Styela clava: one gene and its partners. The protein of the gene in region 3 interacts with the protein of the main gene of each other region in a pairwise test. Links are inferred from orthologs where the notes say so. Each region holds a gene or a part of one and is shown on either strand. Other genes may lie near its edges.

Region 1 (8,241 bases), on a different chromosome or scaffold from region 3:
TCAATATGATCCTAGACAAAAAGGCACACTCAAAAACATTTCAAACGAAGAAAACTATTAAATAATGTTGCAAAATTTGAATGGGTGAAGCATAAAATAATAACATCTATTTGCGTAATGAAATGCAGTGCTGCGCATTCATTATGCGTAAGAAAGGCACGCATAAAACATCGCACATAAAAAAAAAGATGTACACGCTAAATCATGTACGAACACAATTAACTCTATGGACAATTTTTCTGCTGTTTTGTTTCCAATATATATATAGGATTACAAACGAGGCCTCAAAGAAGTTTCTGCAACACGTAGCTCAGCGACGTGCAGCCGATTTGTCTGCTTCGTTTTAATTAAAGCTAGTGATGAAAATGTTTTTTTTTGCATAACGCAGTAACTGGTTGAAAATACGGGCAATAGTTTGATTGCTCGGTTAGGCTACTTAGCAATGGGTATTCGTTATCAAGAGATATCCGAAATTGAGACAGTGATTCTTTTTTAAATCTTGACCGTAAAATAGAATCACAATTTTTAATCAAGCGTTTTCTTTTTTCCATCGGGTTCATCATAATAATCCCTCTGCAGTTGATCGACGCCTCAAACTAAATGAATTTACTTTAGAATGACAAAGTCGTCGGTAACTTGGCACCGGGCTCAAAATCCTACTGTGTCTGCTCAAAATACTGCGAAAGATCTCTGCGGCCCATGCTTTTTTGCGTGTCTCGTGACCACCTACAGGGTCACATCAAGTTCATATCTTACTAGAATATCATACTGTTCTTGACTGTTTTTTTGGTTCAAACAAAGAAATATGCATGAAGTTTTATATGGATGGTCATACTATTCAGAAAAAATACGCAGAATAAAAAAGCACGCGTGCAGATTTTTTGGTTTCTGAATCTTGCGAGATTTGATGGAGCGCATTCGCGATGAATCGGAGCTGAGAAAGCGAAAAGTGTGACCACTCGGTGCCGCACTATGACGGCGGCAGAGAAATTGCGTAATAAACCAACGCAACATCGTCTTCGGCAAAGTGACCCTTTGGTCTTCGGTAAAGCGATTAAGACGGCATAAAAACAACAAAACAACGAAATTTCTTGCTGACCTGCAAAAAAGCATCCGCTGACTGGCGGTTGGGAACCACTAATCAAGCGGATATATATATATATATATATAGTTTGCATAATATCCGTTTGTACATGCATGTACACAATTTGAACCAACGCCAGTCACGATAAAGACATTTTCTCGAGTCTCGAGGACTAATAATAAGTTACTACAGTCCGAATCGAATCAGGTCAAACTCGCGTCTCACCAACACTGCATGAAATGATGAAGAATGACCATTGGTCAGGATAGAACTAGATGTCGGAATGATCACAAAATACGTTATTAAATATATATGACAAATCTAGAAATTCAACAGATGCTCTTCTACAGATATTTGCTCAAGTTCACTAACGCTAAAACCAATCTTTAAGTTAGCAGAAGAAGCAGCAATAACAATATCAAACTAAATTTGTGAATTCTTTATGCAACCTCTGCGTGATAAAAACGTATAATCATATTTCTATCAAATACAAGAAATTAAAGGATCAATATATGTAGGTCTGCAACATGCAGTAACAAATAATTATAACTTTCTGCAATAATTATAAATCTTTTGCAACTTCAAACCCCACCTGTAAGCGCGATACATCAGTCATTGGAAAACTTGGATATGACATGTCTGCCTGTTATGTAGCGCAGTGATTTTCAACCTTTTTTGTACCGCGGAACACTTTTTTTATTCTAAAATTGTGGCGGAATACCAAATCAGATTTTTGGAAATAAACTATATTATGCAATTAACTGACATCGATCATTTCGGAATAAAATAAATCAACGAAATTAATAATATAGCTTGTCAACTTCAGCTGGAGAAGACGTTACACATTCCGATTCAGAGCTAAAGTACGGTACAAATAAATCATTTTGCGAGTTTGCTTATGCTTACTATGATGAGCTAGGAACAGAAATGGTATTTTAATGTGATATCTGGGCCTGTTTCGATGAGTTTCAATATTTTATTCTGGCTAGAATTTAAGAGGGACAAACACGCAGATCTTTCTCAACGACTCCTATTTTCTGGTGTTTTTTATATTCTTATGGCGGCCAATAAAAGGGTGGGCAAATCGAACATTTTTTTTGGAATCAAATAATTCGAATATTCTTAACAAATACCGAATAGTCCAATGACGAATATTTTTTATACACAACAGGGTCCAGAACGTCGGAGGTCGATTTGGAAATTAACAGAAACATTGAAAATCGGCAACAAAGCGATTTTTACTGGTTAATTTTGTCGTAATCGCTGATATTTAGTCCCCCTGAACGTTTCCATATTCCCGCCCTTTGTTCTTTTGCTATTTTAATATTTTTACAACTATTTTAATTTCTGTGGGTCGGCGGAGATCGAAGTTTCATATTATTGGCATACTTATGAGTTCACATCGGCGACAGATTTTAATTACTTTAAGGAGTGATTTCAAAGCCAAATTAATTGTATTCTGATATTTATCTTTTGCGCCGACTCTGATCTAACTTATCGTCGTTTGCAAATTAAACGTCCCAGTTTTGGGCAAATAATATTATCATTATCGTCAACGGGATGCACACATTTATTAAGACGACAATTGACTTTCTTAGGCTTAGTGGTATTTTCGAAATAAATCAATTTGATACTGTGATTAGATAAATCTGCAAAGCTGTGATTGCGTGAATCATGAATGTTGATTTAAAATCTGAAATAAAGGCATTTCTACGTGGTCGTTAGGCAGTACTCTTGAACGATATCTTATATACGCGACCTGATAGCAAAAAAAATGTAAACAATTTTGTGCCCAAGTGCTTTTGTGCCTAGTAGAAGGGAAGACGATGATTATATTTATTCACCTCAAGTTTACGATTTATTTTTCAACAAAATCAATACTCCGACCATTATCATAGCTAATATCGTTACCGAGAAATTCACAATTGTATTTACGGAATTTGCAAATTCAACACTTCACTTGACGATTTTGATGATGCCACGCCTTAATTATTACTGCAAGAAAAGCTTAAAAATGCAACGAATGTAATCAATTCCGATGATGACTCCATCCATGGTCGAGTATAATGTTCACATTTTTGAAACATTATTTGGTCAAGGATGAAATGGATCACTAAAACTACACGCCGAGCTATTAGAAAGTCTATTGAAAAGAATTATGGCCTGTCATTTCTTATCTGGTTATAAGTTTTTATACCGGCTTTTCAAAACTCTGACTCGCCATTTTCAAATCTATGCTATTTATATGGTACTCCCGTGGTATTTGAACCAAGATGGCTGACACATTAACGTAGTATGTGTACCAAGTTAGGGTCAGGCCATAACTTTGGGTACAAATACTATAGGAGTCACCTGGCTAGTCCCTGAATTCGTAATAGAGCTAAAATAAGGGTTATGGCTTAACCTGGTGCACATACTACGTTCTGGTGTCCAACGTCTTGGTTCGCATATTACAGGAGTACCATTTCTCGAATTTTCTGACGACCTAAAATTGCCGTTTCACCATGTATCGAAAACGTCTTTGTAACTCTTAATTTCCGATAATGATTTTCTATTCGGGTCATGCATAAGGAGGCTAATAACATCTTCATAATCTGGTAACTTTATTTAAATATATTATTTGGGTTGACGTTTCTACATTTACAGACTAGTGTCGGCGCGCTTTTTGCAAAATATCAGCAAAAGCCGAGGGTGAATTCTCGCGTAATCCAAGCCATCGATTCACCGGCGCGAGTTCCGTGCCCAAGCAAAGTGGTACAGATTACGCGGTATCGTACATACGAATAGTAAAATGTCATTCGAAAATTTTAATATTCCATTCGCTATTCGAATATTTTGCCCAGCCCTAGACCGGCCATGCTCAAAAAGCTCATTTCGCAAAGATAGGTAGTGGAAAATGGTAGCGAGATTGAAGCGCTTGTGAACCGCGGCTTTGTGAAATTTATATAAATTCATCGGACGGTTAAATATCAGTTATGATGTCATAATACTACGAAAAAGCAATTTTCCGCGGAACACCTGGAGGTCTCTCGCGGAACACCAGTCATTTGGGTTGACAAAAGCGTTGAAAAAAGGCGCTGAAAATCACTGATGTAGTGTGTAATTTATACAAGTTGTAAGCGCCATGCCGTTATATTGAAATTAACAGGGCTTCAGAAGTCGTATATTTACGATATTTGCAGTAGGCGTGCGCAAGATGGCGTGATGCACCATCGTCTCACATTATGCTTTGGCGCTGCTCAGGCGCACATTTATCAGTTTTCGATCTTTCAGCTTAAGAATCTTGAATTCAAGTATGAGTTATAAATATATATAAACAAAAAATTAAAACTGATCATGTAATGTCCGGATTAGGTGGCAACTCTGACTCTCCTACAATCGACTTGTTTATTTAGCTATTTTTCGATAACAATTGCTTATCAGCAATCAGTCAATGATGTTGAGATAATTTTAAACTTTATCGGACACATATTATTTCAAGATATATTTTAAGCGACACGTATTGACTAGTTTCCGTACTTTTGAATGACATTTGTTAGTTTTTAGTTATGCTTTTAATTTTAGACATCGATACAAATCGAATAATTCAGCATCAAGGTTAGAGAGAGAGAAAAAGATTTATTTTTTCGTCAATCATAATAAAATAACAGTCATCGTGATAATAAAAATAATAACAAGTAATAAAAAAATTAATCGTGTTGTCGTTGACTGGATGACTCTTTGAGTCTTTCGCGACCACTCGTCTATTGCAACAAGCCACGATCCGTATTTGTAATTTGTTACACGCCTTTTATTTATTTCATTTTGTACACTAGTTTTGCATGACGAAAATAAAAATCTGAATCTGAATTCAGCAGCCATTTTGCTTCAGAAGTGTTGTAGTTGCGCTAAAGAAAGAAAAACGACCCAGAAAAGTTGGGATATACCATCCGAAAAGTAGCTGTCAGTACCTTAAAGACAGTGTTAAAAACAAGTTAGTGATTTCGATCATGCTAAATTCCATACCTGCATAGAAAATTTCATACTGCGCAAAATTGGAGACGGACATCTAGACTCAAAACAGCAGAGCTGCAGCTTCAGCTGTTTTTCAGTTCATGAGCGACGCGCGCTGAATCACTAATGCTGAATCTGCTATCGTTTAGTTAGGTTGCTGGTTGTGCCGGTAAACGGTACCGTAATAGGATGTGGAATCAGCAGGCACCTTGGCCGCTTCTTCAGCAGCAATCAAAACAAAATCCTGGTAAGTTTTGACTATTATATTATATCACTGCATTCACTGGTAATGTTATACCAAATACTGAAATACCGGTACTAAAATTGCTATTTTTGCTAAGATGAATAACTGAAATAAAATGTTAACGCATGTGTTAAGACAGATACCGGTACCGTACTGGTACCAGATGTTTAGAAGTTTGGTCGAACAACAAACAGTGTTCATGTGTTATGATCGATCATGCGAACTGTCAGACTATGAAGCCTCTTTCTGTCTTTGCAATGTTGTAGTATAGAAAAAATCACCAACACTGTAACAGGATAAAGAAATCTATAATGATAATAAACTTATGTTCAGTACCGATATGTCTATAACCATATAATTTTACACTCATGACTATATTCAGATATTGGATGACAGAGTTAGTTATTCGGTCAGTCATTTTTGTCTGTGAAATGGCATAGGCTATATTTTTTGTTATATTTATTCATTTTTCCTTGTATACGGTATATTACGGAAATAAGTCTAATTTCACTTTTCTGAATGTTATATTTTTGTAGGTGAAGTTGATTGGGCAGCTCTTGCTCAAGCTTGGATTCATCAGAAAGGAACAGAAGATGAACAGAATTTGCCGCAACAGGTATATAGAATCAGTTTTCGCAATTATTTATTGTTACTCATTCAAAAAGTTAAGTGGTAGGCCTGATCACATTTGAAAATGTGTAATGTCTGAATTTCGCATTTCACAATGGCTGGGACATCCTCAATCTTCAAACACGTCTATTCAAACGATAAATACATACAAAAACCACTAAGCAGAGCTGCATAATAAGCTAAAAAGAAGTAAAATCTTGAAAATCATGTCATTGGATTTTTCAGAAAAATTTTTACGCCTTCAAGAGCAAAATTTAATGGGCTGGTATTTCTTTGTTTTGTGTGATAACGGGAGCGGAGCATATTGCGATTGATTTATAATATCATGGCTAACATCGCACTATATTTTGAATGTGCCATCATACCCAGACACCCTTGTTTCAGAAACAAATTGTGTGTTTGTTTAATATTTCCAAATATTGGGGACATTTTTAAAATCAGGGAACTCTATCATATTGAATTCGTAATGTTATTCACATTATTCTTGTTTTACTGAACTGTACCTATCTAACATAATCTATCATCAAATACACAGAATGTGGCAAAACCCCCTGAACCATCACAAAATATACCTCCTGAGCAAGTACCAGTTGCTACACAACAGCAGATGTTATGGCAACAACAAGGGCATTGGCAACAAAATCAAGGCTGGGGACACGGACCTCAACAGGGATGGAATCAACAAGATCATTCTCAGCAGTGGAATCAAATGAACCAACATCCTCAGCAGTGGCAAGGTGACTTAACTTTTCAGGTTTTTCATTGAGAACCATAGATTTGAGGAAAACTACCAAACCCCAATCTTCTGATACAGTTATAAAGCGACATCAGCTTCGATTCCCGCCCCTATGCTGACAAAAATGCAAATTTCGATCACCGATTATAGGATTTTAGAAAATTTTGGGGGCTCCCGAAGTATGCGAACCAAGATGGCGGACATCGGAATGTTATATGTGTACTAGGTTAGGGTTAGGCCATAATTTTAGGTATAAATACTACGGGAGGCTCTTGGCTAGTCTTCGAACTGATAATAGGACTAAAATAAGGTAAATTGGAAAAAAATTATGGCCTAACCCTAACCTGTTACCCATGTTACGTTCCGATGTCCGCCATATTGGTTCGCATACTTCGGGAGCACCAAATTTTGATTCTAAATTACCAAGAAATGCGAATCTTGATAACAAAAACTTTGGTGTATGCAACCTTTTTTTAATTGTTTGTAGAGAACGCTTGGTCAATTTTATATTTTCTGAATTTAGGAAACTTCAACCAGCAGCAATGGTTTGGAAATGGTCATCCACCACAACATAATGAGGAACCTAAACCACCACTTCCTCCACCAGAAGATGAACCCACGAATGGTTGGTAATTTATATCTATAAGATCTATTTCTATCTACTAATATTGATTGATCATTTCTGCATATCCTTAAAACGAGTTACATATTTTCGATAGCAGTATATTACAAAGTTTTCAAGAGGAAATTTCTCTTATCATCTGTATTATCTATTAGTGAATATGTTCAAATTGGAATAGTTCCCAAATTACCATTATTTTTTAAAAATATTTATTTTGAGTATTGTACAGTGTTACTTCGTTCTGCATTAAAATAATGATATATGTTTGAATAAGGCCAAAATTTCCTACTATAAACCTCGCTGATATTCATTCTCTGTCCCAACTCAGGTAACAACGTAGCAGATATAATACCTCCGCCTCCATTGCCTGTTGATGGTCTTGGAAATATGGATCAAAATTTGAGAACGGATAATCACAAGGAAATAATAGATTACAGTCATCAACATCCCAGTGGAGAATTCAAGTAAGATAAAAAGAATGCTATGTAAATTTTTTTTGTTTTTTTCTTGTTATTAACTTCATGTTTTCTAGTTTTAGAAAAGATGAAAGATTTACTGAAGATTATCATCCAAAAAATAGTTTTGTTGTTGAAGATCAGGTGAATAATGTAATTTTGTTTATTGATTTGTGTTTTTGATGTTGAATATTTCAGATAGAAACTTTTGTTAGTGAGTTATTATTTAGATATGGTCTTACCATAAAATGGCAACGGTTTAGGGAGGTAGCTTTTACAAAGCCTTTTTTGGAGTGAAATCCATATAAAAATTCACTTCTTCAAATTTGGGAAGATTTGGAATTTTAAAATGAATTGTAAACTGTTGTACTATTTGTAAATATAATATATATATATATATAAAGGGTATCCGAAAAAATTTCGCCTGATTTTATAGTATTAACAATTATTTCTTTGTCTTTGTTTATTAATAGTCCT
Region 2 (8,099 bases), on a different chromosome or scaffold from region 3:
ATTTGAGTCAATATGCCTTAATGTTTTTGTACTTGAAGCCACTTACTGCAGATATGCAAATATCTGAAGCAAAATCAGTGCGGGACCAAATGAGTAAGTTTAGGTTACGTTTGAATCTGTTTATCTGTCATTTCTTTGGATCTCAATGGATGTATTTTTTCAGGCGTAACCGTTAAACTTCCTACCGATCATTCGTGAAGTCGGGATGTTGGGACAGGGTGGGCAAAAAAATAAGCTTTCCACTCCCATCTTGTGTGGTTGTTGAGATAAGAAAACATTTTGAATCCCCCTCATACACAGGATTCCAACCACCCTCACTTTAGAAAAAAGTTTCTCAGCAAAATGCATGAAAAGGGCCAACTCAATATTTATAACAAGAAGTATTGAAACAATGGAGATTTTAGATAAAAAATGTATTGGCACGAATGAATTACCAGAAAATTAGAACTAAATTGATAAAAAATAGACCAAGAAGGGCGAAGGGATAAATTGCATTTAATGAACTATGGGCTGTGGAGCAGAGGGTACAAATTTCAAACTTCAATGGCCTGATTTGCAGAGATTAGTCTCTCTCAATAAAACAAAAGCTTGCATAAACCAAATTTGATTTCCTGAAAGGTTAGAGCCGAAATTGCTTGCATAATTTTTTCCGACTCCACAGCCCTAGTTGTCAATACTTGACTATTAAAACAGTTTTACAGCTGCTGTATTGCAAGCTCCTTATCTGGTCTTTCACACCTGGAAGACAAGGTCGGTAATGGTGACAGATCATTCTGGCTTGTGGTTGAACTGTCATCAACCTCTGAAATCACTTTCTGAAGCAGGACTTGCACATATTCTGTGAAAAAGATGGCGGATCACTTATACTTCTGTTTTTCAGGTTGAACCAATTAAATTTTACGGACTCACCAAAACACGACTCAGAACGTAATCCTCGAATACCGATTATATCCACACTGGCAAAAAATAGCTTTGGTTACCACCATGGATCCAACCACCTTTTCCACATCAACGGTACAAATTCCAAAGCACTTTTCACAACTAGCAAAGATTTGCAAAAGTTTATGTAGACTAACGATGTATTCCTCTTTTATAATTTTGTATGACTCTCCTTCTCTATAAATTAATTATAAGTTAAATGAAAATGTCTATAAAAATATGCCTTCAAGGATCGATACTTACCCACTGCGTGACTCATCTGAAACACTATTCAAGTCATAGCTACTGTCTGTACTTGAGTCGTCATTCATATCAGAAGTGTCAGAGTCAACAACCATCTTATGCTCCTGTGTTTTGAACAGTTGTAGCGGAGGTGCAACTATCAGATCACATTGTAAGCAGTGGTGAGCTGTAGCCGGAAGGCACTGGAACGGCGTTCCGGTTGTTGGACGTCTTATTGCATTTGCGTTCCTGTTGTTGAAATAAAATTATGGTATAAAAAGTCTAGTTTTTCTGGTAAACTTAGGTATTAATTTATGTTTTGTTACATCATACTTCGTAAATATATTTACATCACACCACGCAAATGATTAGTACAGAAGTAACATGTAATATTGTCGTTTCCCGACCTTTGACCCCATACAAATTCATTCTATAACTTTCTATTAATAACGTTTGTATTGAATTGCTATGAATATTCTTGTAATTTTACACAGAGATATATTTAGACAATTTCTTCATATTTCATTGCAGTTCTTCTTCGCCTCTATCTTAAAACAGACAAATCCTTCTGTAACGTCCGCGTCGTGTTGTAAATATTACATTTTTGCGAATTAGGTGCGTTCCGGTTGTTACGATTTTTCCAGCTCATCACTGATTGTAAGCCGACAGATCTTGTACTGGTATAAGATTGGCATGCTGCAACAGATATTGAATAATAAGAAAGAAGCAGCTCAACAATAATATAAAACCTAAAGCTGAATATACGTCTAGTTCTTAACCTTTACTGTGATTTCCACGTCTCTGTAGTGCCTGGGTGTGCTTAGACTGCTGTGTTATTTTCTGAAATGGCAAAAGTTTAACAATTTATACTCTAAAGTCTAAACTGTTTGACAACATAAACTGCAATTAATGCTTCTGACTAACCATAAGTTTATACTCTGTAACTGTTTTATTGCACGAAGTCTTTTCTGGCTCATGAGTTTGATCAATTGGTGTTTGCTAAAAAAAAATTCAGAGGAGGAATAACAATAGCCTGATCATATATTTGTTTTCTAACCTTTAGTCAATTCTCTGAAAATATTACTGCACCTGTGATAACAAAGCTTCATCATGTGTAAAGCCACTGGTGATATAAAAAAACTAACTGATAAATATGCATATATAAAAACAAGACCTGTCATTGAATAATTTCTTTCTACAAACCACCGCTCCCTCCTTTTTGTGCACCACATATCTTGTTTTTTTTTTCCAAATAAGATTCACTGCCAACTTCGGTTAAAACTCTCTGTCTGACCTCATCATAATAAGATGTCATTATCTCAACATAACTTTCTGGACTGAATGGCTTAGTGGTCTTTTGTGTGTTCGACAAGAGAAATCAGATCGGGCTAGTTTGACAAACAAACTCCCACGTCTTCGAAACGTCTCATTGAACATAACAATACACTCAACTTGATTGCATTTATTACAAGTCTTTGTTTCAAGTACACATCAGAAGAGTCGTCAATATAACTGAAGTTGTATGGTGGTTTGATCTTGGCTGTTTCTAGTATTACGGATTCTAAATTTGCCATGATTGCATTGGCGTATTTAAGTGTCATTTTGGTTCACATTGCTGTTCTGTTGATTTGGAGGCAATGTTTGTCATTATATACAAAATTGTTGTTGTTCAGAACCATATTAACTGCGTTTGTCATTGCTGTGCTCCATAGGATACTTTTCTACTGATGAAGATATTGAATACTATTCATGTAATAATCCGGCCCGCCGAGGACTTCATTTTCCCACATCTGACCCGCCGACTAAAGAAGTTGCCCACCCCTGGACTAGTCTATCGCAGCATTTGCGAGACTCATTTTTGATTACAGCAACTAAATTAATGCTCATTTGAAGACATAATGACAATCAAGATATTGAATTCGCAACTATTTTTTCGAAACACAACTGAAAACTGACAAATAACCCGCAAAACTACAAATACGAGGCAGTGTTTACTATACAACCATACTTGAGGGATGGAAGTGTCTGAGCGGCTGCAGAAATTGCAATTGTTACATCATTGTTGACTTTTTGTTGATTGGTTATGGTTATGGAAATAAACAAGGAAATTGATGCCCGGGAAAAGAGGCATAAAGGCCGTACAGCGAATACATACAGTATGGAAGATAAAGCGTTGTCGGCATATTTTAGCCAACTCAAAAGTTTAATTGTTGCAATAATTCAAAACTGCTTGCGTACCACAGGTTGAGAACCACTGTATGGACCTTTCCCCGACCTCATGTACCGTGTCGTCACCATAGTTACAATCAAACAACGCTGATTCAAGACAACGGTCTTGTTGTCTTAAACTTGAGTCGCAGTCCTGACCGCGTTAAATATACCTTAAAAACACCTTGAAACAAAATAAAAATATTTCTTAGCATATGAATGATTGTAAACATTTCTTATTTCTCACAAAACAAAAAAAACATGGCGGGTATAGAGTAAACCGAAGTGATTGAGGTAAACAAGCGTAACAAGTGCTCCCAAACACAAACTATAAATATGATTATAGATTTAACGAGTTTTTTATAATGCATTTTGGAATTCAAGTTATACCTATTTATACTTTTATTCTTCACGTTTAGTTAGCATAATTAACAGGCAAATTTCAAGTCATATTCGCGATGAGCATTCAAATATTTCGGAGGAACACGACATTTTTGTTGTAAACAAAGACCTGATTACAAACCAAACGCAGATCGAGGCTTAATTTCCAATTGGTGTTCAGTTTCATATTGGGTTTATTGAGAGTTAAAAGTCTTTGATATCATATCCAGTTGCCATTACAAATTAATGTTTTCGGCACTAGAGCTTTTGAAGTGGCATTACATCACATGGAACAGGCTGTTTTTATCAATATATCAAGTGGCATTTCATGTGTTATTTTGAGTGCTTACGCCGATCCACGTAATGTTTTCTGGTATGTTTTATTTATTAGGAAGGGAAATGCAGGATTAGGAGTTGACTTGGTTTTATATTTTTTTGTGTATTGATGTATGAGAGTCCCACAGTTTTTTTTTTATTACTGAAACGCAGTGATGAGTATGTAATGAAGGAATGGAATGAAAGAGGAATGTTAGGATACCCAATATACAAGTATTACTATTTGCATGAACCATATTAAAGTACCCAATTTACACATTGTATGTCAGTATGCAAGATCGTCGAAGGGTATCAAGGCTCATGACCATGTGGACTGTCATAATTGGTTGCAACAACCACTTATATTGTTTAAAATATGAAAGTGCAACTTTCATAAAGCTAAGAGATTGAAATTAAATAAAGTAGTTTTTATGCATAGTGAAGCAGCGGTAAAGAGTTCAAATATTATCGAGAAGAGGGGTGTAACGACAAAGGTTGAGAACCCACTGCTTCAAGCGAGCTTGAATAGAAAATTAAATCTGCTCATTTCTTTTGATGTTTCACGTAACATGGTCTTCACTACAATACAATAAAGATGAGTTAAATCTTAAAGTTTCTTTTTTTCCATTCATACCAGACATTGGAAACGTATGTTTTGAATAAAAAAAATTAAGTAAACAATATTCAACAAAATACAAAGTCAACTGGATAGTATATAAATAAATGTAAACAACATACAAACAAAAATACATACTGAAAGAACATAAAACATCGGAGTTTCAGGGAGACTACATGGAGACTCGTTAGAATGGACCAGATAGAGCAATTGCTAACTTGCCCGGTTTGTCTTGACCGTTTTAAACAACCGAAGATACTACCATGTCAGCATACATTTTGTTTGAGACCATGTTTGCAAAATTTAGTGACGGATCGCAGGTGAGTTCTCTATTACTCAGTGAAGGCGGCAATATCACCTCTCTACAGTATCTAACAGAATGAGATTATTTGGACCAGTCTTGCCTCAATGACTTGCAGTGGCAGAGTCAGAATGGCGGGCTCGAATGATTGGGCGATTGAGTTATCATTTTAATCGTTAAAACCTCCCTTCCATCCCATTTCTGTGTTCTCCATGTGGGTTGCTGGTTTGAATCGATCAGGAATAAGTATGCATGAGAGTATTGCTAGATTCCTCTTTGATTTAGGTGGTGATTTGCCAATTGGTAAGCCGTCTTATCGTTTTTTCTCTCCCCCTTGATAAATTTGAAAATAATATTATTTTTGTCTGAAAGTATTTTTATACAAAAGCGGGAGCAGAAGGGGAAAGGGGTCATAGAACATGAAAGTTTGAGGACTTCTGGCTTAGTACAATACACCAAATGAGGTTTCAAAGTTGACTATTTTTTGCAGCATTCGATGTCCAGAATGTCGTTCTACACATCTTCTGCCTCGTAATGGTATCAATGGACTTCCAAATAATTTAACCATTGTTAAGTTTCTTGATCTTCCTACCCAGAGATCTTCCCCTAAGGAAATCGTTTGCCAGGTAAGAGTGGGAAATGTCTTGTTCAGGGTAAATTTGTGAAAAAGTAAATCCTGAGTTCCTGCGGAAAATTTTTTTTGTTCAGCTGATTATGGAGTGGAAATAAACTAATTATACTTTAGACTCTAGAGTTGTTTGAAAGTCGATTTTAAACTTTTACTCTCCGGTAACTCACTATAAACATATATTAAGTGAATGCCCATGACTATAATCTAAGACGCACCAACAGAACTGTGTAATCGGCTCCAAAGACACACATAGACGCTTCACCTTTACAGTTGGTTGGTCATGATCTGTTAACTGATGACATCACTGGTCATATTCATTCAACTGGCCAAACACTAGTTGCCAGAAATACAATAAATATCAATAATATCCACTGCCCTAGTAATCGGCATGGCTTTACATCAAGATCTTCAAATTCTTCAATTTTGTTTTAGGAATGTGGCAAGAAGAGCTGTGAACCAGAGAAGTGCAATCATTGTGAAAAACTTCTTTGCGAAAATTGTTTGACGAAACATTCACATATCCTGAAGCAAGATTTAGACAGAGCAGTTTCACAGGTAAATTGTGGGTACGATGACGCAGTCGTTTTCAACCTTTCCGTCAGAGCGGAACCCCAATTGAAAATTTCATAAGCTTAAGGAAGTCCTGTATAATAGTTTATTTTTCTTATGCAGAAAATTTCATATTTAAGCGATTCTAATACTGGCAAAACAATTTGATCTTCAAAATGCTATTCAATCTTCAATTGATATGCCTAGCGTTATGCACAAATCGAATATTGGATCTCCACTCTGGGAGACCCTTATTCTCAGCCATTCTGTGTGTCTAGCTGTAGGGTCTAAACTGCTCGGTCGACCCGGTTGAAATTTCTCAAACGGTTCATGCTGTGAGTAATTCGGTTTCACCGAAAGTCCGGATTGGTGTTTCGTTCCCATTGAATCAGGGAAAAAATGCGCCGATCGTTGAGAAATAACTGTTTTTCACAATTTGTCCCCATTATCTCATAACCAGGCTCGGAAATTAAGATTTCAAGATCAAGGACACATGCAGTTACTTAAAATGAACTGGCAATTTCGGTATCCCAGTCACTGCTGTTGTAATATGTTTTGCGTGGATGGTAACGTGTTACTGAATTTCGGGCCACCTTGTGTATCAGCGGAGATCCTGTACGCCTACCGGCTTGTTTTATAAGGAGTGCATAAATATATGTTGTAAAATTACCTAATGAATATTGCATTGCACCAAGTAACAAAACTCCTCCCTGGAGAGGAATTCCTCGTCAGTTGGAAATCTGTGTCTTCGGTGGGGTGGGATTAATTTTTCTAAAGATGTTTATATGTTTCATTCCTGAACCAGTTTTCGTATCCACTGAAATATAAGGAGCTATTATGGTTCAAAAAGACCGTAATTTTCTTCCAGTTTGTCACTCAGAATAGTCACCTGAATAAACGAAATTCTCTCTACAGCCTTTTTTTCAAAAATGTAGAATTGTTGAATTTTATATACTGGTATATATTTTTTCTGTAGGTCAAAAGACTTCTCCCTAAGGTATCAGAACTCATCTCTGACCTTGAAGAAAGGCAAAAAAAGTCAAAGGAAAATGGGGAGGCAGTGAAACTAGAAATTGCGCAGGTAGTCACTTAGTTATTTAGAGTAGGTTTAAGCTGATTTTTGAATTTTTACAAAATCAGACTTCCAAGCGCAACTAATGAACTTTTGAACCACTACTGCACAGCATCTTTCATTTATGCTCCTTTCACAAGAATCTGCCAGGATAAAAAAAAAGATAATACAGGAGATACATTGCCTTGATCACCGCTTGAACATTTTCAATTTTATATTACCGTATTTTTCGGCTAGTAAGCCAAAGCAAATTTTTGCTCTGAAATGGGTATTTTTCCATATTTCTGTCCGATAAGCCGAGGCAGAAAAATCTTAGTTAAGCACCAATGCATGCTTTATTTTTATGATTCTATTTTACTCATTTTTTTGTTTCTCAGTTACGCACCAATGCGCCTCTCTCTTTAATTTGGTTGCAGTACACGTGCTAAAACTCCATGTTTCCATGATTCACACATGCTGGTATCGCTAATTTCTTTAGCTCATGATGCGGACACAAATGTGGCAACATTAAATATAATGATCACAGCGGGTATATTCCAAATTGGCGGTGTGAATCACGAAAACTAACGGAGAGCGTACATCATTGTGCCCCTTTTCCGGTGTTTTTTAGTCCAAAGCTAACAACAAAAAAAGAAGAAAGTATGGGGGGGGGGGGGGGACTTGGGAATCACTGTCTCTGTTTTTGCTGTATTTTTTCTAACAATGAGATTTTATCATTCAGTCTGTTGAACGTTGCATTTCTGAACTCCAGTCAAGAAAACAGCTATTGATGGAAGAAGTTGAGGCTTTTGTCGCCGTAGAAACAAGGTACCGGTAAATATTATTTCAGTATTATCATGGATTTCCATGGATCGATTTTGAAAAT
Region 3 (7,356 bases):
AAGCAGTGAGACATGTACAGCAGTCTAAATAGAATTTGTACTAATATGGAATAAAAATATTTTCAAGAATTATTTTTGACATTATTCTGGGTGGGTGTTAACACCATTAGTGTCTCCAGGTTGAGAATTTTGCTTTAAGGATTCTATAACATCTTCATCTTCCTCATCATCCTCTTCTTCTTCATCATCATCTTCATCTGATATTTCCCCACCTAGAGTCTTAATTTTAGTTTTATAAGATTCTAGCTTTGTCTCCTGGTCTGATAAAAGAATAAGCAAATCTTCTTGCTCTTTTTTGAAATCTTCAGCTTGTGCTTTTGCCTCTTCTGCCTTGGAGTTTGCATCGGTAACTTGTTGTACAAGAGATTCTTCTTTACTCTGTAAATTGGAGAGTTTTTCCTCAAGTGTTGAGATTTTATCCTGAAGTGTGAGGTTTTCTTGGCTGGTAACATTCAATCTGGATTCAAGATCATGAATCTTTGTTTGCATTGACGTCTTCTCAGAAACAAGTACATCATACACTTCATCAGTTGTGTTTTGAGAGCGTGCACCTTCTGATAACAACCTAGAAATTTCTTCATCCTTCGCTTGAAGTTGGGATCGTAATGAATCAACTTCATTTGTGAGTTGTACTAATCTATGTTCTTGTAGTCTCGAATCATCAGGCACATTGATGGCATGTATACTGTCATCTGGTATGTTAGTATTGCTTTGTTGATTGTTGTTTTGTTGAGTTTCATCAGAGGACGAGAGTTGCAGAGAACGAAGTTCTAAACCATCAAGATCATTACGTAACTGTTGAATAGAATTTTCTTTTTCTTGTAATTTTGCATTTTTTTCTGCATTTTCTTGCTTCAGTTCCTCAATTTGCACATTCAAAGATGACAATAACTCGGCAGCATCGCTGACACCATCCCCAGATGAAGAATCATGCATGGTTTTCAATACGTTATATTGATCTTTTAATTGCTGAACTTGTGCTGTGCGTTCATCCAAGTTTTCCTTTGTTTGTGATAATTCAGATTCAAGACTGGAAACACGAGATCTCAATTCTTTTAAATCTGTATCTTGACTTCTTATTAGAGCCTGATATTCCTTTATGATAGAATCATGGGCCTTGATGGCGGCTTTTGATTCTTCCTCTTTCTTGACATCCTCTAAATTTGAAACCATTTTTATAATATTATCTTCCAAAGTTTTGAACAATTTAGTAAAATTATGATCGAACAACATATCATCTGAAGATGGTGCAACAGGTTGAGAACGTTGAAACGCTTTAGAATACAGATCATGTTTTGTAACTGCTCCGAGAGAGTCACAAAATCTTTCAATTCCTACTCTTGCTACAATTAACTCAATGAGTGACTCTTTCGTGCATTGAGGAACTGAACCATCATTATCAACAATGCATATTCCTAGCAAAAGAGCACATACTCCATGCAAAACGTGGTCCAATTCATTTCCGTGCTCGGCTATTTGGCTCAAAAGGAAAGGAACAGCATCTGAATCATGTAATAAATGGGAAACAGCAATTGGACAACCAGAAAGCCAACTGCACAATAGAATAAGTAGACCCATTCGACTTTGGATGCTCGTTGATTGCCTAACTATATTTGTAATTTGCTGCAGCAAAGATATAGGTGGATTTCCTACACTTGTCGCGAGTTGCACTCGTAACAGTTGCTGTTTCATTTCGGTATTACGATTTAATGCATGTGAAAGCGCGACAGCAGAACACCAATTAGACAGTGGATCAGAAGCAGCAAATAATCCTCCACAAAGCAGCTGACCGGCAGAAATTTGTTGTGACTGAAGTGAGGAAGGCAGTAATGTGTTGACAATTTTTGTCTGTCCTGCTGGGTTAACATGTAAAAAGCATTGGAAGCAATACAAAACAGCACACCGTAATTCAAAAGGCTGTTTGTCATTGACCATTGACATCAACAAAACAACAATCGCTGGACGAGGGGGCTCACAAGGTGCATGAACAGATTCAAACATAGCTTGGTTAGCTTCACATCCCCTAATAACTTCCGAAACAGTATTGATAGTTTCTGTTAAAATATCTGCCGGGACACCAGTGGCCATCAACATATTACACAGCCTCTCTAGTAATCCACATTGCTGCATTACAAGCTGGCAAGAAGATGTCACATTCGATGGATTTGAAGGTGCAACCAACGTTCTTACAAGTTTCAGCATGAGATGCAAATTCGCAACTTTTTGTGCAGACCATACAGACTCTGAATCAATTTCAAAAAATGGTGTCAAACGCTGCACAAATGAACCTTCTTTGAAAAATTGCTGGTTTGATGTGTTTCTCTTTAGTAAATGTAGTAACAACAAAAGGCAATCTTCTACTACAACTCCACCATCACTCATCCCTTCTGCCCTTATTATATCCAAAATAATATCAAAGCCATTTTCAAAAGCAATAATTTTTTGAATGTTGGAATTTCCACGCGTCAGTTCTATGAGCAACAATAACGCATCATTTCGAATGACCTCTCTTGAATCGGTCAATAAATCGATTAGTCGAGATATACCCATGGGTTTCATAAGCACAGTTTCTTGTATTTTACCAGGTTGACCTTTCAGTAATGAAATCATAAGCCGTAGTGCGGAGAGTCGAACACTAAAATCATATCGCTCAACGAAATCTAATACCACATTTATATTATTCTCTTCTGCGGTAAATTTTTCGACAAATGTACGAGTTAATTCAGGTTGCGGAACTACGTCATCATCTTCTTCCATATCAGACATAAGATTGCATAATGTATCGAGTGCGTATGCCACCATTTCATCATCATTTGCGTCTTGATCTAAAACAGTAGCAATATGAGCCATTCCCTGTGTGCCAACTTCATATCTAAACTTTCTCGACAATGATTTTAATGCACGAACAGCATCTCGACGATCTTCAAGGAGCGTAGATGATGCAACACGATCACAAAGTCTTGATACGGTTTCTGCTCCACTCGGCTGTTGCTCATCACTGCCTTTCACAAATGATTTAAAATAATTCATTTTGTAATGCTGTTTATTGATATCTATTTATGAAAAAAGAAAATGAAATAGTTAGTGGTTTTGACTATTTTTTTACTGGATTTGGGGTATTGGTCCAATGCTTCCATTCCCCAGAAGTTTTTATAGCAGTCAAACAAGTCTGCGAGTGTATGTTTTGGTGGGCAATATGGCACTTGGAAATGGAAGTGCCTTTTCAAAACCAGCCTACGCCTAACCCCGTGTATCATTTCGGGAGATTCTATAATTACAGTAATTTCATTCTGTTTCTACGTACTTTTATGTCAATCATGTAGAAAGTGCAGATCTGCATTAAGAAGGCGGATCGAAAGAAATTCAAAATCTTGACAGTCTTTGTCAATATGGATGGACAAGCTGGTGTTGGACAAATGAAGCTTTATTTTTATGAAATAAAACAGCGGGATCTAACGACTTAGCAGTTAAAAAATTTACAATTTAGATTTTTATAATCTTGGTAAATTTGAGTTTACCCTCACACTTTGATCGCCCTGTACTTCGAAAAGCTTTTGCAACACTGATACTTCATAATTCTGGCAATAATACAGTACTGGATAGGCCTGCAAATTGGGGTATGAAATAACCACTGGTAATAAAGATATAACTTTATACAGTTACAAAGTTATAACTACAGATGTAAAGTTTGAATAAAAAAATTTTCAAACTCAAAATTTGATTCTATTTATTGCAACAATCTATATAAGATACATATATATAATCTTTGAGGCCACTATGTGAGAAAAAAATAGTGATGTAAAGTGTGGATAATGCATATAACTGTATAACGATAGACTGATAGAGGAGAAAGACATTCAAAACATTTTCATTATGACCTTTGCTCAGTCTATCAGTTTTTTGAAATCAAGCGCTGTAGGGAGTGTAAAGTGCTTGTTTACTTTCCAAACTCACCTATGTTACATGGTGATATCACTAAGGTAAACAGTGGTTCAGTACCACCTGTTGTTATGATGTCAGTACCAGTATGGGGTAAAATTTAAGTTAGGTATACTACTAGACTACAAATAAACAATTGGTCAACTGTGTTTAAGTATATTTTGATTTCTTTTCTGATATATTCAGCAACTTCTTGTTACCATTTATGTATTGTTGTATTAGCTTTATTAATGAATCAAAACAAACTAAACTTTTTTTTTAAATGGTTCACTCCATAAGTGATTTTAATTAAGTTTCTTAATTTTTTCCAATAATTCGTTTGCATAAACTTTGTAATTCTTTTGCAAAGGGTTTGTTTACTCTAGAATTTTTTCTATATATTATGGCCATTTTTATCTGCATTTTAAAGTGAGCAATATCAGGTGTTTTATATTCAAATATACCGTAATCGAATATCTCATGATCCAAATTTATATCACTCTGTTGATAACAAAAAATTAATTGCTTTCAAATCTACAGTAGCTACCGGTATATGACAAAATAAAGAATCATCGAAATTAAATAATATGCAAAAATCATAATTTATAACAAAATGTATTTTTATATAATTAAATAAACGAAATCATCATACATTTTCTGGGAAAATTCACAAGACATGAATATATGTGAAATAAACTCAGGTTCCTCATTGTATAATACACACATTTCATTTTTTCCTATTTTTTTTTAATCTATGGCTTAGTTTACAAAGAAAAAATATCCCAAGGAATTTATAGTTGAAAGTTTTTATATAATTTGTATATAACTTCGTCATTTATATGGTAATATTGTTTGCCCATTTTGATATCATACGCATTTAAACTATTATTTCCTAAAAAATCAATTACACTTTTATAATACTCGTGTGGAATAAATCTATGTACCATACTATTATTTAATGGTAGTGGTAATGGTGTTTTCTATATATTCAAATACACACATACCAGGAATATAAATAAATATTGTAAAAATTCATTTACAATTTCATTTACTTTTTGAGAAATATATTTTGGCATTGAAAATATTTTGCATAAAAACAAAATTTGCGGTAATAACTCAAGTTTTACTATCAAACACTTTCCTTCTGACGAAATAAGTATTTTTTGAGGATCAGCCACTATTTTTTCACTTATTCCAGTTCAAGTTTCCAGTATTAGTATTAGCAGAAATCACATCTAACATTTCTCAATCGGTATAATCGTTTATTAGTATCCTAGTTTCACCATCTTTATATAGACGGTGTACATGATAAATTCATTTTTTATCCCAAATCTTTCTAAAATCTTATAAATAATCTAAATTAACCGAATCACATACTTTTATAAGATCAAATGATAATAAAGCATTTTCACCAATTTTTTTTGTTCTTAATAATGCATACCTGGTAGAATTATTTTATTTCTGTTGGCAAGAATTTTACTAATTATTTTAAATCAAAATTTAGAAGAGTTCAGAGTTGTAATAATTTCCTATGTCTTTCATAAAATTCAATTCTTATTCCATTTGAATCCGGTTATTTTCTGTCTTTCTGGCTTTTGATAGCCTCCATTAATTCAGTCAGTTGAATCGGATATTTTAAATTATATGCTTATTTTATTGGACGATATCAACATTGTTTAAAAATAGTCTTTGTTTTATTGGGTCTTTTGTTTACTGTACACATGATTCTTCATTTTTATTTTTTAGTTTTCTAATACTGTAATAAATGATTCTTTTTGCCTCAAATATTAAAAAAAAGGATTTGTAGCATTTCCCATGACTATCACAGTACGGTCAGACGGTACCGTACCGGTACCGGTACGACCTTCTTTTTTCAGTTTTTATACCGGTACTGTAGTTTCACAGGACAGCAGGATGTGACATTGGTACCGTACTATCTCATCTGGCTTGAACTTAAATATTTCGCCAGGTACCGGTATACAATGGCGCTACATTCTGACACTAGAAATTAATTCAATAGAATCTTCGGGCTCAAAATAGGTGACCAATTCATTCAAAATATCAGAGACCTATTCTCGTCTCAGTTTTTCAGCATTGTAACATTGTATCCCTATCACTATAATGTACACAATTTGTCCCCTCTCAATGTCATGTACACAATTTGTGCAACTATTGCACGTTGCGAAAAAAGAAACCTAGGCTATATAATCCATCCTAAAAACTAAAAGTATCACGACATTTACCGGTACACTTACAGCCCAGGGCTCTGAGTTGCATGGGAAAATCACACTGATACTGTTATTTTGACCTTTGACTCAATACGGACACGTCAAAAATATTAAAATGACGTATTGACAAATCCGAGATTTCTACTCTCTCTGACAAATGCAACAATTTTATAGGGATTCTCGATTACCTCATTTGGAAATGATGAATGACAAAAAGCAGTTACCATTGCGGCAGAGGCATGCCGATAAAAGGCGAGAAGAAATTTACTCTGTCATTTATTGATTCGCCAAATCAAAAACGCGGTACAAATCACAGCACAACATTAACGCTCTTTGAAGAGCCGCTCGGGAAAGATAAATCTTCTTCCTCGCCATTTTGAATCCGAACGAACCTGGGATAAATATGTAAATCCTATAACAGTGTGTCACCTGATGCAAATCTATCATGCTCGTGGTCAAGGATAAGACAGATGTAGATGATTGCCACCGATTGAAGACATTTTTATCCCCCACAATGCCCCAGTGACGAATGAAACGTAAGTGATTCCGACTATTATCTTTCTCCCCTCACAAAGTTCCAGCTCACGTAGGCTCACAAGATGTCAAGATGCGTTGACAAGACAGGCGTGCTCAAAATTGTTGAGCCAACTATGGGACAGCCGATTATGATTAAAATGACACAAAAAATCGACAAGGATCTTGTCCAGAACATACCGTACCATAACTAAAGACTAGATAAGTGGTTCCCAAACTTTTTAGAGTTGGGACCCACTATTTATTACCGCAGCTTATGGCGACCCACAACAAAATATCTTTGTTAGTTCTATTTTCTTTTGTATGTTTTATGGCATAACACAGAAATGGCTAATAATCGCAAAACTACCGTGTTTCCTCGAAAATAAGACCTAATTTGAATTTTAAAAATGATTCATAATTAAACCCTACCTTTAAAATAAATTTAAAATGTGTGGGACCGGAATAGTTCAATCACCTGAGGTAAGGTGAAGACACACCACTATTCAAGATTGTGTGATGTCACCATCGCAATTATAATATTTGTCACTTGATTTTTGTATAGGAAATACAAGTAAAACAAAGAATGTCGGTTTTTATATGATGTTTATTAAAAAATCTCGTGTTTTTTTTACAATGTAATTTTATTTTTGATAATGAACATAAACGACCTCATCCACAAAAAAACATAGTGTTA

Evidence for each region.
Region 1: the proteins of general vesicular transport factor p115-like (region 3) and uncharacterized protein LOC120337842 interact in a two-hybrid assay, tested with the Caenorhabditis elegans proteins (2 studies listed by BioGRID). The link is inferred for Styela clava from reciprocal best matches to the Caenorhabditis elegans genes uso-1 and rsy-1.
Region 2: the proteins of general vesicular transport factor p115-like (region 3) and uncharacterized protein LOC120346764 interact in a two-hybrid assay, tested with the Caenorhabditis elegans proteins (2 studies listed by BioGRID). The link is inferred for Styela clava from reciprocal best matches to the Caenorhabditis elegans genes uso-1 and nhl-1.

The regions. Positions count from the first base shown.
Region 1 is NC_135259.1:16,063,143-16,071,383, forward strand, and holds the start of uncharacterized protein LOC120337842, read left to right. Parts: upstream 1-5,137; 5' UTR 5,138-5,266; coding exon 5,267-5,324; intron 5,325-5,857; coding exon 5,858-5,937; intron 5,938-6,486; coding exon 6,487-6,688; intron 6,689-7,210; coding exon 7,211-7,312; intron 7,313-7,637; coding exon 7,638-7,773; intron 7,774-7,841; coding exon 7,842-7,917; intron 7,918-8,241.
Region 2 is NC_135257.1:20,852,931-20,861,029, reverse strand, and holds the start of uncharacterized protein LOC120346764, read left to right. Parts: upstream 1-4,684; 5' UTR 4,685-4,873; coding exon 4,874-5,001; intron 5,002-5,472; coding exon 5,473-5,608; intron 5,609-6,045; coding exon 6,046-6,168; intron 6,169-7,138; coding exon 7,139-7,243; intron 7,244-7,955; coding exon 7,956-8,041; intron 8,042-8,099.
Region 3 is NC_135253.1:16,171,852-16,179,207, forward strand, and holds the start of general vesicular transport factor p115-like, read right to left. Parts: upstream 3,074-7,356; 5' UTR 3,031-3,073; coding exon 82-3,030; 3' UTR 1-81.